Cricetulus griseus: one gene and its partners. The protein of the gene in region 2 interacts with the protein of the main gene of each other region in a biochemical or structural test. Links are inferred from orthologs where the notes say so. Each region holds a gene or a part of one and is shown on either strand. Other genes may lie near its edges.

Region 1 (3,039 bases), on a different chromosome or scaffold from region 2:
CTGCAATTGTTAAAGTACTCACCAGTTTTGCTAGTGGCCTCATTTTCTGCAGTCTGACCTACATTACCAGTCAGCTTCTGGAAACAGTAAACTACTCCCACTTGAAGGCTGGCTCCTGTCTGTGCACAGCAGAGCTACTAGGTACTTAGGCCCTCCTGGACAAGCTTTGAGTCTCTTGCAGTGGTTCACAACCTTCCTAATGCTGAGACCCTTTAATACAGCTCCTCATGTTGTAGTGATCCCCCAAACATAAAATTCCATTGCTACTTCATAACTGTTAATTTTGCTACTATTATGAATTGTAACATAAATATCTGTTGTCTTTTCTTTTTTTCCGAGACAGGTTTCTCTGTGATTTGGAGGCTGTCCTGGAACTAGCTCTTGTAGACCAGGCTGGTCTCAAACTCACAGAGATCCACCTGCCTCTGCCTCCCGAGTACTGGAATTAAAGGCGTGTGCCATCATCGCTTGGCGAACTGTAACATAAATATCCGATATGCAGGATATCCAATATGTGATCCCTATGGGGATTGAGACCCACAGGCTGAGAACTACTACCTTAGAGGAAGGAGCTAGGCACAGAAACACAGTTGGAAGGGACTTGTGGAAAAGAACCACTCCTTGATGTCACCATTGGTGTTGGTGTAGCACTTCCATGAACTTGGAGCATTACTAAGTGAACCACAAGAGATGCAAAAAAATACCCCAAGCTCCAGGGTCAACTCCCTCCCGAATGGGGAAGAGAGGAAAGAAACAATCCATCAGAGTAGGAGAGCGACAAAAGAAATATCATGTTAGATAAGCTCCAACTGAATTTCTGGACTATACAAAGGAAGACAGCTTGCAAACATTAAGTTCTTTAAATTAAAATTCTGGGGGCTGGAGAGATGGCTCAGCGGTTAAGAGCACTGACTGCTCTTCCAGAGGTCCTGAGTTCAATTCCCAGCAACCACATGGTGGCTCACAACCATCCATTATAAGATCTGGTGCCTTCTTCTGGTGTGCAGATGTACATGGAAGCAGAATGTTGTATACATAATAAAGTCTTTAAAGAAAAAAAAATTCTGGGCCAGGCAGTGGTGATGCATGCCTTTGATCCCAGCACTTGGGAGGCAGATACAGGCGGATCTCTGTGAGTTCAAGGTCAACCTGGTCTACAAAGTGAGTTTCAGGGCAGTCAGGGCTGTTATACAGAGAAACCCTGTCTTAAGAAATCAAAAAATGCTGAAACCACACAATTAAGACCTATAACAAGTCATGTTTTACTTGGGTGTTATGGATCCTTCTGGGATAAAGTATTTTGGGTGGGCCACTTACCTTCAGGAGGCTCCGACATGGATGGGGTGAGACAGTACATGTGGTAGCCACGGTCACAGTCATCACAGAAGAGCAGCTGGTCCTGCAGAAGGTAAGGAGAAAGAAAGAACAAGGATCCAAAGGCTTATGTACCCAAGTTGTGACACTGCTGCTACTTTTATGAGGGACTAGTAGCTGCTAAGAAGAGATGTAGAGGGGCTGGAAAGATGGCACAGCAGTGAAGAACACTGACTGTTCTTCCAGAGGCCCTGGGTTTAATTCCCAGCACCCACATGGCAGCTCACAACTGTCTGTAACTCCAGTTCCATGAGACCTGATACCCTTACACAGACATACATGCAGGCAAAACAACAATGCACATGAAGTTAAGTAATTAAAATAAAGAAGTAAGACCTGCCCATCTCAACCTATCCAGATTCTAACTGATCACAAAGCCTACTATTTCCCTACAATCTCTTCTCTACAAAGCTGCCAGTTACCTTCTGAAAATATGAGACAGAACATATCACACAACAACCACCCCCAAATAAATGGCCTCTGTCAACATCCCCAAGGTCCAAGCACAGGGGTGGAGCTTAGCAGCAAAGCTCATGCCTAGTGTTCACCAGGTCCTGGGGTCAATCTCCAGGATTCCTCACTGCTCACAAAAGGACTCAAGACCCATAGATCAAACAACATCCACCTCTCCGATTCACCTTCCCCCACATGAAAGATCTAGTGGGTAGCAATGGCCTTGTTACAGCGGGCTTGCCAATCTCAAGGTCTCTGCACTGGCTATACCTCTTTGGAAATACACTCATTTTGTACCTTTTTGGACTGGCTCTTTGTGTTATCAAAACTCCAACACCAACTTCATTTCCTCCAAAAGCAAATCTAACTAGAAACCTCTATCAGTATCAAGTTAACTCTTTTTTTTTGTTTGTTTTTTGAGACAGGGTCTCACTGTGTAGCTTTGGAGCCTGTCTTGGAACTTGCTTTGTAGACCAGTTAACTCTTTGGCTCATCAAGGTATATCATACAAAACTCTGTTACCCAAGTACACAAATTTGATGAAAGCATGGTCTTCTCTGTCTTACTTAGTGACCTGAGAGCCAAAAACACCGACTGCTGGTGCTCAAGAAACAGATTTTTTTAAACAAGTGTAAAGTTCCCCAGGGGAGGCTAAGGAGGGGCGTGGAAGGAGGGAGGCCCTTGCTTGTGCTGACAGAAAGCTTGCTTTGGGGGAGCTGAGGGGAGAGCCAGGCAGGCTGAGAGGGCGCACGCACGTCATTCTCCGAAGTGCCGCAGAGGTTGCAGCACTTGCACTCGATGCACTGCCAGCGGTAGGTCTTCACAGCCGCCATCATCACGGGGGTGAACTGCAGGCAGGACGGGTGCCCTGTGGGGGAGGCGAGTCAAACGGGGGCTGGAAACCCGTGGGGAATGGGGATGGGAGGCTGCCTGACAGCACTGAAGTAACCAGGCCAAGAGTGTCCTGGGCACTGAGTGCAGCCTGCTCTTTGAGAATGGAAGTACCTGAGCGGCCACAGTCAGAACAGGACACTAGCTCCTCAGGCTGCCCTGTCTTCTTGTTGATTTTTGAGTCTCCCAGGCAGAAGTCACAGTAGTTGTTGGGCAGGGCTAATCCATCAGGTCCTTTCTTGGCTACAGGAAAAAAAGAAAGGAATTTTGATGATGCCCCACATTCCCTACAAGGAGGACTTTTATTTTAAGTATTTTTTT
Region 2 (3,519 bases):
ACTTGATTTTCTTCACAGCTGTGACCCTTTTTTCTAGGTTCGCCTTCCAAGCTGTATCAGCTCTGAGTTTTAGAGCTTAGAGTTGCCTTTCCCAGAGGGCGCTGGATTTCAGTGTGGGGTTATTGCTATCAAACCCATTTCTAAATGTCATTTAGAAAATGGCATTCCCAACTAAGGACACTTTAAAGATATCACCTATAAAAAGGTTTTCTTTTTTTCCTGTTATCATTACTAAAAACAGCATAAACACGTATTACAAAATGATGCCTTTTTCCTCAGTGACTGCCTTGAGATTTCTGCCTACCTGATACAGATCATTCCTCATGTTGATGATGTCATCACAGATCAGACCAGATGTGACTTCTAGCAGATCCCTCACAAGCTGAGCATGAAGGTGGATGATGGCTAAGTGTAAGACACTGGAATGAAATACCGTGACAGTAGTTAACTAGGGGTTAACAAAGGAGAGGAACCAAAGTTTTCAAGGAATGATTGGAAATGAAGACCGAATCCAGCTGTTATTCATGGATTTCTTTGGCCTCACTATGTTTTAGATCTGCAAAATGTACTTATCTGAGGTGACATGCTTTCTCTCCCACTGCCTATCCCAGGCTATGACACTCACTGATGGAGCCTACCTGACTCTGGCAGTGTTCTTGTCTGACTCAACACATCCAGTGCAAAGGCGCCCACCCTGGCTGGAGACCAAACGGTCCTCCTTCAGGCCAGGTAGTTCTCCCCTAAATCTCCCTCATGGACAGACACTGAGCAAAAGTAAAGTCCAGTTAAGAACAGCTCAGAACAACTTAAGTTGCCCAGCTCTCTTCCTCTGAAACAATGTGAAGTGGTTTTTATCTTTAAACAAGGTCTTGTCATTTAGCCCTGAAATCATTCTTTCAGAAATACTCAGGGAAGATCATGATTTGCTTTTTAGACGCACCCCCATGCCAATATTAAGGCCAAGGAAACCATATACACTTTGATGAGAAACAATCCAGCCTACACCCCAGGGCTTCCCTGTTGCTCTGGGTGGAATGCTGGCAGAAGGCGTTTAAGAAGTGATGTAGGCGTGACGTTCACACATTGAGTAAAGGGCATGCTTCAGAAGATGCCTAAACATTTCCCTGCGCAGCTCAGCATCTCACAGAAGTGCACCCCCTCCCCGTCAGCTCCTCACACCCTCCTGGGAATTCCCCCAAAGCTAGAGGATTCTATATTTTTTCTTTATTGTTATTTTCTACGATGACTAATAGTCACGGGGCTCAGATATCAGCCCAATATGACAAGCTGAACGAAGATGAGAGGCCAGAGTGCTCTCTTGTCACACCCACGGCCTCTCAGGGAGCCTGCTTGTATCTGTATCCTGCATGGACAAGGAAGGCCACTGTCTCAGCTGTTCCTCATCAAAGTCATCAATTCAGTGGGCCCTTAAAGATGCCACCTGAAGCCCCTGTGTCCTGCCTTGGTTAGCTGCTCTGTTTCGTGGTTATTTGCTATTGAATGTTAATTGGATGCTTCCCCCAAAGACGCCTTCTGCTAGTCAGGGCTGTACACAGAGAAGGTTGTCTGGGTTCCTCTTGTACTGTAGAACAAGGCCAGTGGTTATACCACATCCTTGGTTATGCCACAAGCAACGAGGACAAAGGTCTCTGTATGAAAGCCCTGAGGTTGGCACGCTCCTAATGCATTTAGTTTTTAAACTGAGACTTCACACAGCAGTCCGGGATGTTTCCACAGAAAGGGACTTCCAGGGTTGATGCTATTTTAGGATCTTCAGATAAAGCACTTGAACCTCAAGACTGCTGTCGCTGGCTATTTTTATAGGCCTCTAGATCAGTTCAGAAGTCTCAATGAAAGGACTAAGAACTGCTGAGAAGGGAGCCAAGTGGCTTTGCAAACAGAACCTCAGGAATGGACAGGAGGCGTGGTGTCTGGAATGTCAGACTCCCACGCAGCCTGGCCTGGAGCTGAGGCAGAGTCCAATCCACTCACAAACTAGTGAATATTAACAGAGGCCTCAGAGGAGGAGCCAGTAACTAGGAAGGAAGGAGTGGCATTTCCTCTTATTTACTGGACTGATAGACATTGTTGTCTTTACCAGGACCTTCCTTGGGTACACTAGATAATGCTTCAGGGACTTGGCAGGGCTGCCAATCATTCTCTCAATTATTTTAATAACTAAAGGAAGGGTTTCAAAATCAACACACTATCCACACATCTGAGTCTTCTTGCCTGGAGAGACACCATACTTTAGGGCTTGTCAGATGAGAGCAGAACTGGAGAAGCAGACTGTTTCGACTCCAGCTCCTGGGAGCATCCCCTTCTAGCCAGTGTGCCCACGTCTCTCCTCTCCCTACCCACACAGTGCCTGCTCTTCAGCAGCCCTGACTTCACTCACCTGTCCCCATTCTCATCCTGCACCGCGGTGAGATGGCGCTGCACAGCCAGCAACATCTTCACGTCTCCTGTCATCGCATAGTCGAAAAGGGCATTGGCATGCCTCTTGGCAAGCTGTAGAGCCTTCTCAAGAAAGAGGTTATCTGCAAGGCAATGTCCACAACCACAGCTGAGTCTCACTCGCTCGCCCTACACGCATGGCATGGCACACCATTTTAGTTGAAAATGCTCCTTTTGGTGCTTCTGGATTGGGGCGACTAGAAAAAGCACAATTGGGCATTGTCTCACTGACAGATAATAGAGTCAAGAGATTGATTTCCAAGTGTCTGTGGGCCGTGAGGAACCATTTAGAAACACCTGCTATTTTAAGGAAAATACTCAGTGCCTACGGCTTAGGGAAGTAATCAATCTCAGGGGAACTGGATTTTGCCATGACTTTAAATAATCAACTATTTTATAAGCTAATTCTCTTCTGAATCCAGTCTGAGTCAACGTGAAGAAAAATGCCCTCTGGCCCCAGACATAACCTTGGAAAGCCACTGGTGTCTTTGAAAAATTCATTCTCCTAAGGTCAAGGGATAGCAAACTATGACCTCAACACAGAGGGTACATCTAACTTGCTTTGATATGGTCCCATGGACAGACATTGTGCATCTCAAAGAAGGTATTTAAAGAAGCAGAGGAAGGAAAATACGGAATAGTAACTGTATGTGGCCACCATGTCTAAATAGTTACTCTCTCTTTCTGGATGATGTCTGGCCTGGAGTTATGACACATACTCCAATGAGGCCTGTTCAAAGGAACCATTTCCTTTAAATTCTGCTTCTTCAAGGAGGGCAGGAGAACAAAAAGAACAGCCTCATTTTGGGGCAGACTTCTTCAATATGGCAGCTGAGCTGGCTGCTGGGAAGGGTGGAAGAAGGATGTGGATATGCTTCTGTATAACCGGGGACAAAGTGTTGCCTCATCTAATGTCCAGAACTGCATGGGCCTGGGCAATGTACACACAAGTTTCTGCATGAAGACGCTACGTGGGAGGTACAGGGCACCTTGCAGAGCACTCAGACCAGATGCTGACCCACCCTCTTTAGATTAACAGGAAGGAAACCCATGCTCTGGAGA
Region 3 (3,519 bases), on a different chromosome or scaffold from region 2:
TGTCCATGGTCATTCTGCAGGTGTACACTGTGAGATCAACGTTGATGACTGCCATCCCCACCTTGACCCTGCCTCCCGAAGCCCCAAGTGCTTCAACAATGGCACCTGTGTGGACCAGGTGGGTGGCTATAGCTGCACCTGCCCACCAGGCTTCGTCGGAGAACGTTGTGAGGGTGACATCAATGAGTGTCTCTCCAACCCCTGTGACCCACGAGGCACCCAAGACTGCGTGCAGCGTGTTAATGACTTCCACTGCGAGTGCCGGGCTGGCCACACTGGTGCGTGCCTTGGGCAGGTGGGCAGGCGCCTTGGGTGGACAGGCAGTGGTGGCAGGGCTAGCTCCTTACTGTCTTCTCATCCAGGACGCCGCTGCGAGTCAGTCATCAACGGCTGCAGGGGCAAACCATGCAAGAATGGGGGTGTCTGTGCTGTGGCTTCCAACACTGCCCGCGGATTCATCTGCAGGTGCCCTGCGGTAGGTGCCCCTGGCCCTGTGCAGCTGCTAAGGTCCAGGTCTAAGGGTGCCAGAACCCCTGAATTTTACATTGGGTGGACATGTCCCACGCCCAGGGTAGATTAGCCTGAAGGCTTCTAGCCAAGGCTAGGGATCAAGCCCCATGCTTCCTCATGCCCACTCTCCCAGTTCATTCTTAAAATTTGAGTGGGCATAATACATACATACCTGTAATTCTAGTACTCTGGGGGCTGAGGCTAAAAGATTGTCCTGCATTTAAGGCTACGTTAGGCTACAGGGCAAGTCCGTGTTTAAAAAAAGTTTATTTCCTGCTATGTTGTATTGGAAACCTAGGTCCTCACACATGCTGGGCAAATGTTCTGCCCCTGAGTCCCAGCCCAGCCTCTTGTTTTTAAATAAATGTTCATCTTGAGGCAGTTTTAGGTTTGCATGAGAACTTATCAGGAGGGCCAAGTCCCCACCCTGCCTGCCATTTCCTATGGTTACCACCTTGCATGGAAGGTGTTGAGGATCACACTTATAGCTGGCACTGAGGTACAGTATTTGCTCTGGTGTTAACACTCAGAAATTCATACACATATAATGTACCAGTGTCAGCCTGGTTTTTCATGGTTCTAAAATCTAGGATTCTGCCCTCTTAGCTATCCCTCCATTTCAAAGCCTGTGGTAATCCTGACCTTTCTATGGTGAGGATGTTAAAGGGTCTTATTACTTCGGAAAGGCCATAGACACCTTTCATAGGTCATGAGATGTGGCCAGGCCTAGGATGGGGTGCATGGTGTTCCTGAACTCTAGCACCTTGCTCTAATGCACCATCCTCTCTCCACCACCACAGGGCTTTGAAGGTGCCACGTGTGAGAATGATGCCCGCACTTGTGGCAGCTTGCGCTGCCTCAATGGTGGCACATGTATCTCAGGCCCACGAAGTCCCACCTGCCTATGCTTGGGCTCCTTTACTGGCCCTGAGTGCCAGTTCCCAGCCAGCAGCCCCTGTGTGGGTAGTAACCCTTGCTACAATCAGGGCACCTGTGAGCCCACATCCGAGAGCCCTTTCTACCGCTGTCTGTGCCCTGCCAAATTCAACGGGCTGCTGTGCCACATCCTGGACTACAGCTTCACAGGTGGTGCTGGGCGCGACATTCCCCCGCCACAGATTGAGGAGGCCTGCGAGCTGCCTGAGTGCCAGGAAGATGCAGGCAACAAGGTCTGCAACCTGCAGTGCAATAATCACGCATGTGGCTGGGATGGTGGTGACTGCTCCCTCAACTTCAATGACCCTTGGAAGAACTGCACGCAGTCCTTACAGTGCTGGAAGTATTTTAGTGATGGCCACTGTGACAGCCAGTGCAACTCAGCCAGCTGCCTTTTTGATGGCTTCGACTGCCAGCGCACCGAGGGACAGTGCAAGTAAGTAAGGCTCGGTGGCTTCAGAGTCCCAGGGCTCAGCAGACAGCTGCGGGGGGAAGAACCAAACAAATACCAGGAACATGAGGCCAATGTCTATCCCTCCCCATAGGGGACACCAAGCACATTTCCTAGGTCTGGGCCAGTCAGGGTGGGTGTGAGGCCCACAAGGCTGGGATGTGACTGAGTGTGTCCTGTACCCCTCAGCCCTCTGTATGACCAGTATTGCAAGGACCACTTCAGTGACGGCCATTGTGACCAGGGCTGCAACAGTGCCGAGTGCGATTGGGATGGGCTAGACTGTGCAGACCATGTGCCTGAGCGACTGGCAGCTGGCACGTTGGTGCTGGTGGTGCTGCTCCCACCTGAGCAGCTACGCAACAACTCCTTCCACTTCCTGCGGGAGCTCAGCCACGTGCTGCACACCAATGTGGTCTTCAAGCGTGATGCAGAAGGCCAGCAGATGATCTTCCCCTACTACGGCCATGAGGAAGAGCTGCGCAAGCACCCCATCAAGCGCTCTGCAGTGGGTTGGACCACCTCTTCACTGCTTCCCAGCACCAATGGGGGGCGCCAGCGCAGGGAGCTGGACCCCATGGACATCAGAGGGTGAGTGAGCTCCATCCAGATCCAGCTTCTGTGGGCTGTTTCCTAGTGCATTCCTGGGCCCTGTTACCAGCTCAACCCTGGAGGTGAACTCTGGGGAGGTATTATTCACCCTACTTTATGGTCAAAAAGGACCTGGAATGTGGAGGCCACCTCTCTCTAGGTACCTGGCAGGGTTCACTCTTTGCCCAGCTTGTGGTTTTGAGGCTCCACTATGTATTAGGTGTTTAATCAGGACCAAGCTGGTTAAAGCCTCCAGGGTGGTCCCTGGAGCTAAATCATCCTAGACCAAGCCGGCACCTCAGTCTCTATAGCCTCCTTATCCACACTGCAGAGGAGGCGGGTGGGGAAATGCAGAAAGGCACTGTTGCTGAGCCTTGAAGGCTGAGGAGCTGAGGGTGGCAATGAGGAGGCACAAATAAGGGCATCTCATGGATGCTGCACAGAGCCACCTGGGAACAGGCAGAGAAGCACCAGCCAGGACTGATGTGGTCCTTGCAATACTGGTCACCCCCATACCCTGAATTTGTGGGTTCCAGGAGCCTGCCACCTATTCCTCTTTGAGATGCTGGGCATCTGCCTGGTGGCTCCTTGGTGTCTCTTGACCCCAGCAGTTTCTAGTCCTGGTTTCCTTGGTATGGAACCGCAGTAAAAGTTAGAAATGTGTTGTTCCCTGGAAGCTGTATTAGAATCCTGTGTCTGAGAGGCCATGACTGAGAGTGGGTGACTCGGCTGCCATGAGAGTCTCAGCTCTCTAGCATCTGAGCCTGCTGTTGTCTCCGGCCACTCCTAGGGGAGTTCTGAGGAATAACCCACAACCCGTCCCTGCACTTCTGTGGGGCACCAGGTTACTGCTCTCAAGAGTGCACTGAGTGCCTGAGGACATTCTCTTCTCTGAGGTGAAGAAAGGGGTGCTGTGGTACCTAAGGGGCAAGGCTGAAAAACATGTTGGGCAGTAGGAAGAACCCCTGCTGAGTGCTAAACACTGAGGCTGCAGGGAGACTTGTCCAGTTGCTGGGCTGTTGTTGTCAGAT
Region 4 (3,519 bases), on a different chromosome or scaffold from region 2:
CAAGCTGCACATATACTCCACTTAAAAGAATGAAATGATTTGTCCCTTTCTTGGCAACGCTTGGTAACTCCTGTTTTGTGGGCTCAGAATATTCCAGACATGAGCAGCAGGATCACCAATCTGATCCGAACTCATTTTGGGCTCATCTGCAGTAAGGCCAACTATCCTCCCAGTCAACTTTTGGGAGGAAATACCTAGCTACCTTCTTATGTCTATGCATAAGGGACACTCATATGATTAAAATAAAATGTAAATAAGCAAAGGCTTATACAATCTAAGACCCTTAGAAAGCAACACTTTGCCAGGAATCTACTTTGTTATTCATTGAACTATCATGAAATCCAAATCAAATTAAAACTTTAAAATGTATGAGTACATATGTTATAAATTGATTTAAAGGAAGACCTCAGATACTGATGATAATTTCTGTGATTTGCATAAACCCTTTCCTCCCCAACTTGCTTTTTGGCTATGGTGTTCCTTCACAGCTCTAGAACCCCTAACTAAGACAAACTACAAGAACTATAAATATCCATTTAATTTTGGACCATTATTTCCTGACTTATTCTAAAATCAAATGAGAACAGTCCTACATTTTTCAGAAGACCAATCTAGAGGTAGGATTTTCTTGGTCAATTAGATGTTCAGCACCTTTTCAAGTCTGATTTGATTAAAGTAGACTGGGAGAATTTTCAACTTCTAGCACACTAACGCCTGAGGAGGAGAAACTGACTCCCACCTTCATACTTGAGATAGGGAAGTATTCTAAAACAGGATTTTCTCATGTGATAATTTATTCTTGTAGTCAATGCATCCTAAATATCTCAGGTTTAACTATTTATGCTGGGTTTTTGTAGACTGTGATCTAACTAGGCTACACAAATCAGTAGAGTAACAGCAAACAGCACTTGGGAGAGACAGAATCAGATGATAAAAAGGTTCAATAGCAACAGTTTGAGGCTATCCTGGGCTACATGAGATTCATCTCAAAAACAAACATGGTCTAGAAAGATGACTGAGTGGTTAGGAGCAGGTACTGCTCTTGCAGAGTGATGAGGCAAGTCCTTCTGTGTATGTTTATCTTATTGGTTGTTGAATAAAGCACTACTCGGCCAATGAGCCAGAAAGATAGGTGGGACTGGGAGTCAAGGAGGATTCTGGGAAATGTAGTAGAAAGAAGTCTTGTGATACAGGCAGGAAGTGACATAGCAGGCAGACTCATATATAAGCAGGGACAAGCAGGAAGTCGTTCTCTTGCTCTTCCATTTCCTCCCGTTCTCTCCTCTACAGAGCTGCCATGTGATTCCAGGAAGAGGATGACAGCAGAAGGCATCCTCGATAAGTCTTATAAAATATATAGATTTATGATAATGAAGACTGACCTAGCATATATGAAATCCTAGTCAATTGGCCAGCAGCATTGTAAACTAATATAAGACCCTGTATGTTATTCTAGGCGCCCACGTGGTGGTGGGGCTCAGGTGGATGGAGACTTATCATTGGAGCCCTAATGCGGTGGGCAGAACTCAGGTGGCTTGGCAGAAAGATTTATCGTTACAGCAGAGGACAGGAATTCAATTCCCAACACCCACATTGAGCAACTTACAACTGTATATATCTCCAGCTTGAAGGAACCAAATATCTCAGGCCTTCACAGGCATCTACAGTCAGGTACACAAAAGCCCCCCCCCCCCCCCCGCCCATATATATATATATATATATATATATATATATATATATATAATAAAAATAAACAAAAGCAGAACTACTGATATAATTTTGCTCCTGGAACAATCTATTGACCAAGAACTCTACCTTCTGAATCCTGAGCCAGTTAAACAATGCCCCTGCTCAGAATATCACATAGTGATATGCATGGTCACTGTTTCCTTACCTAATACTCTGAACTGAAGAATTTGCTGTTTCTTCCTGCATGGTGCTGGTTATGGTTGTGTCTCCTTCTGAGACAGCTTGTACTGGCTGTACTACATGAACAGTCTGGAAGAGCTGGGTAGGATAGGGGGCCTGTGAGGGTTGCACTGTCCTCAAAACTTCTGATGCCTGTGTGGCTTCCACAGGATCTTTGGGTTTTGGAGCTTTAGAATTCCCTGGTTTCAGAACTGCAGTGGCCCCTCCTTTTATTCCTGGACTTGAAGATACTCTTGATCGGTTTGCTTGATTCCGACTTGATGTGGTTGTTGAAGATAAGGATGGATCCGAAGACTCTATGCTGGAACTTGGATCCTCATCGTCTATGTATATAAGATCTTTTGGCATTTCTTTAAACTGATACACCAAGCGCTGACCTTCCACTTTTGCAAGAATACCTCTTTGGTAATAGTACCTAGTCAAAGCAGACAATTTCATCAATTTTATTAAATAAAATATAAATTAAAATATTGTCAACAAAATCAAATTTTCCTAATCATAAAATTTTAAGTTTAAAAGTGAAGAACCTTATTGTTCCTAGGATTTTATTATTATTTTGTTTTGGTTTTGTTTTTTTTAAGATAGGGTCTCTTTACTGCACTGGCAGTCCTGGAACTCACTACATAGACTAGGCTGGCTATGAACTCACAGAGATCTGCCTGCATCTTGCCTCCCTTAAAGATGTGCCTCAACACACCAGGCAGAATATGGAGAAATTTGTAAAGGAAGGGCACTTATACAAAATATATAAAGACTAATACACAGATTAAATCCTTATGAGTGACTAAGATGACTTAGTAAAGTGCCTGTTTGTATAAGATCCTGAACTCAATCCTCAGCACCCATGCAAGGGCTGGGCCCAGTGACACGTCGGTAGCCCAGTGCTGCAAAGGGAGCGAGACAAGGCAGATCTTTCGAGTTCACTAACCAACCAGACTAGCTTAATCAAAGAGCTCCAGGTTCAGTGGAACCATAATACAACATGAAGAGTAATCAAGGAAGACACCCAATCCTCTGACCTCCACCACAAGCACCCACTCATATACCTACCCAAACACATATACACACACATACACGTCCTTATTAGCTAGATGAATGCTGAATAGGGAACTACAGGGAATAGGGAATGACTGGAGCTTCGCTTCTCTTCCTTCCAGTTCCATGCTGCTAATTTGCTGGAATAATCAAATTTACCACAAACCTCAAGGCATCGTCTTCCCCCTCCCTACCTTACTAGCAGTATTCATACAAGTTTAAATTTAACTCAATTGGGCAGAATTTAGTGATTCACGTGTCTTAATAAAATTAAGAGCCTAAGTGATTCTTGTAAATGCACACCATAGACGCCTTTCTCCTCTCTGTGTTCACATGTTGGTCATTAAAACTCTTCCTTGGGGCTGGAGAGATGGCTCAGTAGTTAAGAGCACTATTGTTCTTGAAGAGAACCCAGCACCCACATAATATCTATAACTTCAATTTCAAGGGATCCAATGCCTTCTGACCTCTGTGGACATCTGGCACACATAATGCACTGGCATGTTTGCAAGCAAAATATTCATATAATAAAGTTAATATTTTTTAAAAACTTAG

The links.
Region 1: the proteins of Nfkb1 (region 2) and Dpf2 form a complex in vitro, tested with the Homo sapiens proteins (2 studies listed by BioGRID). The link is inferred for Cricetulus griseus from reciprocal best matches to the Homo sapiens genes NFKB1 and DPF2.
Region 3: the proteins of Nfkb1 (region 2) and Notch1 form a complex in vitro, tested with the Homo sapiens proteins (2 studies listed by BioGRID). The link is inferred for Cricetulus griseus from reciprocal best matches to the Homo sapiens genes NFKB1 and NOTCH1.
Region 4: the proteins of Nfkb1 (region 2) and Elf1 form a complex in vitro, tested with the Homo sapiens proteins (2 studies listed by BioGRID). The link is inferred for Cricetulus griseus from reciprocal best matches to the Homo sapiens genes NFKB1 and ELF1.

The regions. Positions count from the first base shown.
Region 1 is NC_048596.1:53,441,772-53,444,810, reverse strand, and holds part of Dpf2 (zinc finger protein ubi-d4), read right to left. Parts: intron 2,962-3,039; coding exon 2,833-2,961; intron 2,696-2,832; coding exon 2,583-2,695; intron 1,400-2,582; coding exon 1,318-1,399; intron 1-1,317. UniProt on the Homo sapiens protein: Plays an active role in transcriptional regulation by binding modified histones H3 and H4. Is a negative regulator of myeloid differentiation of hematopoietic progenitor cells. Might also have a role in the development and maturation of lymphoid cells.
Region 2 is NW_023276806.1:23,889,204-23,892,722, reverse strand, and holds part of Nfkb1 (nuclear factor NF-kappa-B p105 subunit), read right to left. Parts: intron 2,541-3,519; coding exon 2,399-2,540; intron 420-2,398; coding exon 305-419; intron 1-304.
Region 3 is NC_048599.1:137,857,454-137,860,972, reverse strand, and holds part of Notch1 (neurogenic locus notch homolog protein 1), read left to right. Parts: intron 1-20; coding exon 21-278; intron 279-362; coding exon 363-475; intron 476-1,310; coding exon 1,311-1,882; intron 1,883-2,086; coding exon 2,087-2,488; intron 2,489-3,519. UniProt on the Homo sapiens protein: Functions as a receptor for membrane-bound ligands Jagged-1 (JAG1), Jagged-2 (JAG2) and Delta-1 (DLL1) to regulate cell-fate determination.
Region 4 is NW_023276807.1:233,925,988-233,929,506, reverse strand, and holds part of Elf1 (ETS-related transcription factor Elf-1), read right to left. Parts: intron 2,345-3,519; coding exon 1,895-2,344; intron 1-1,894.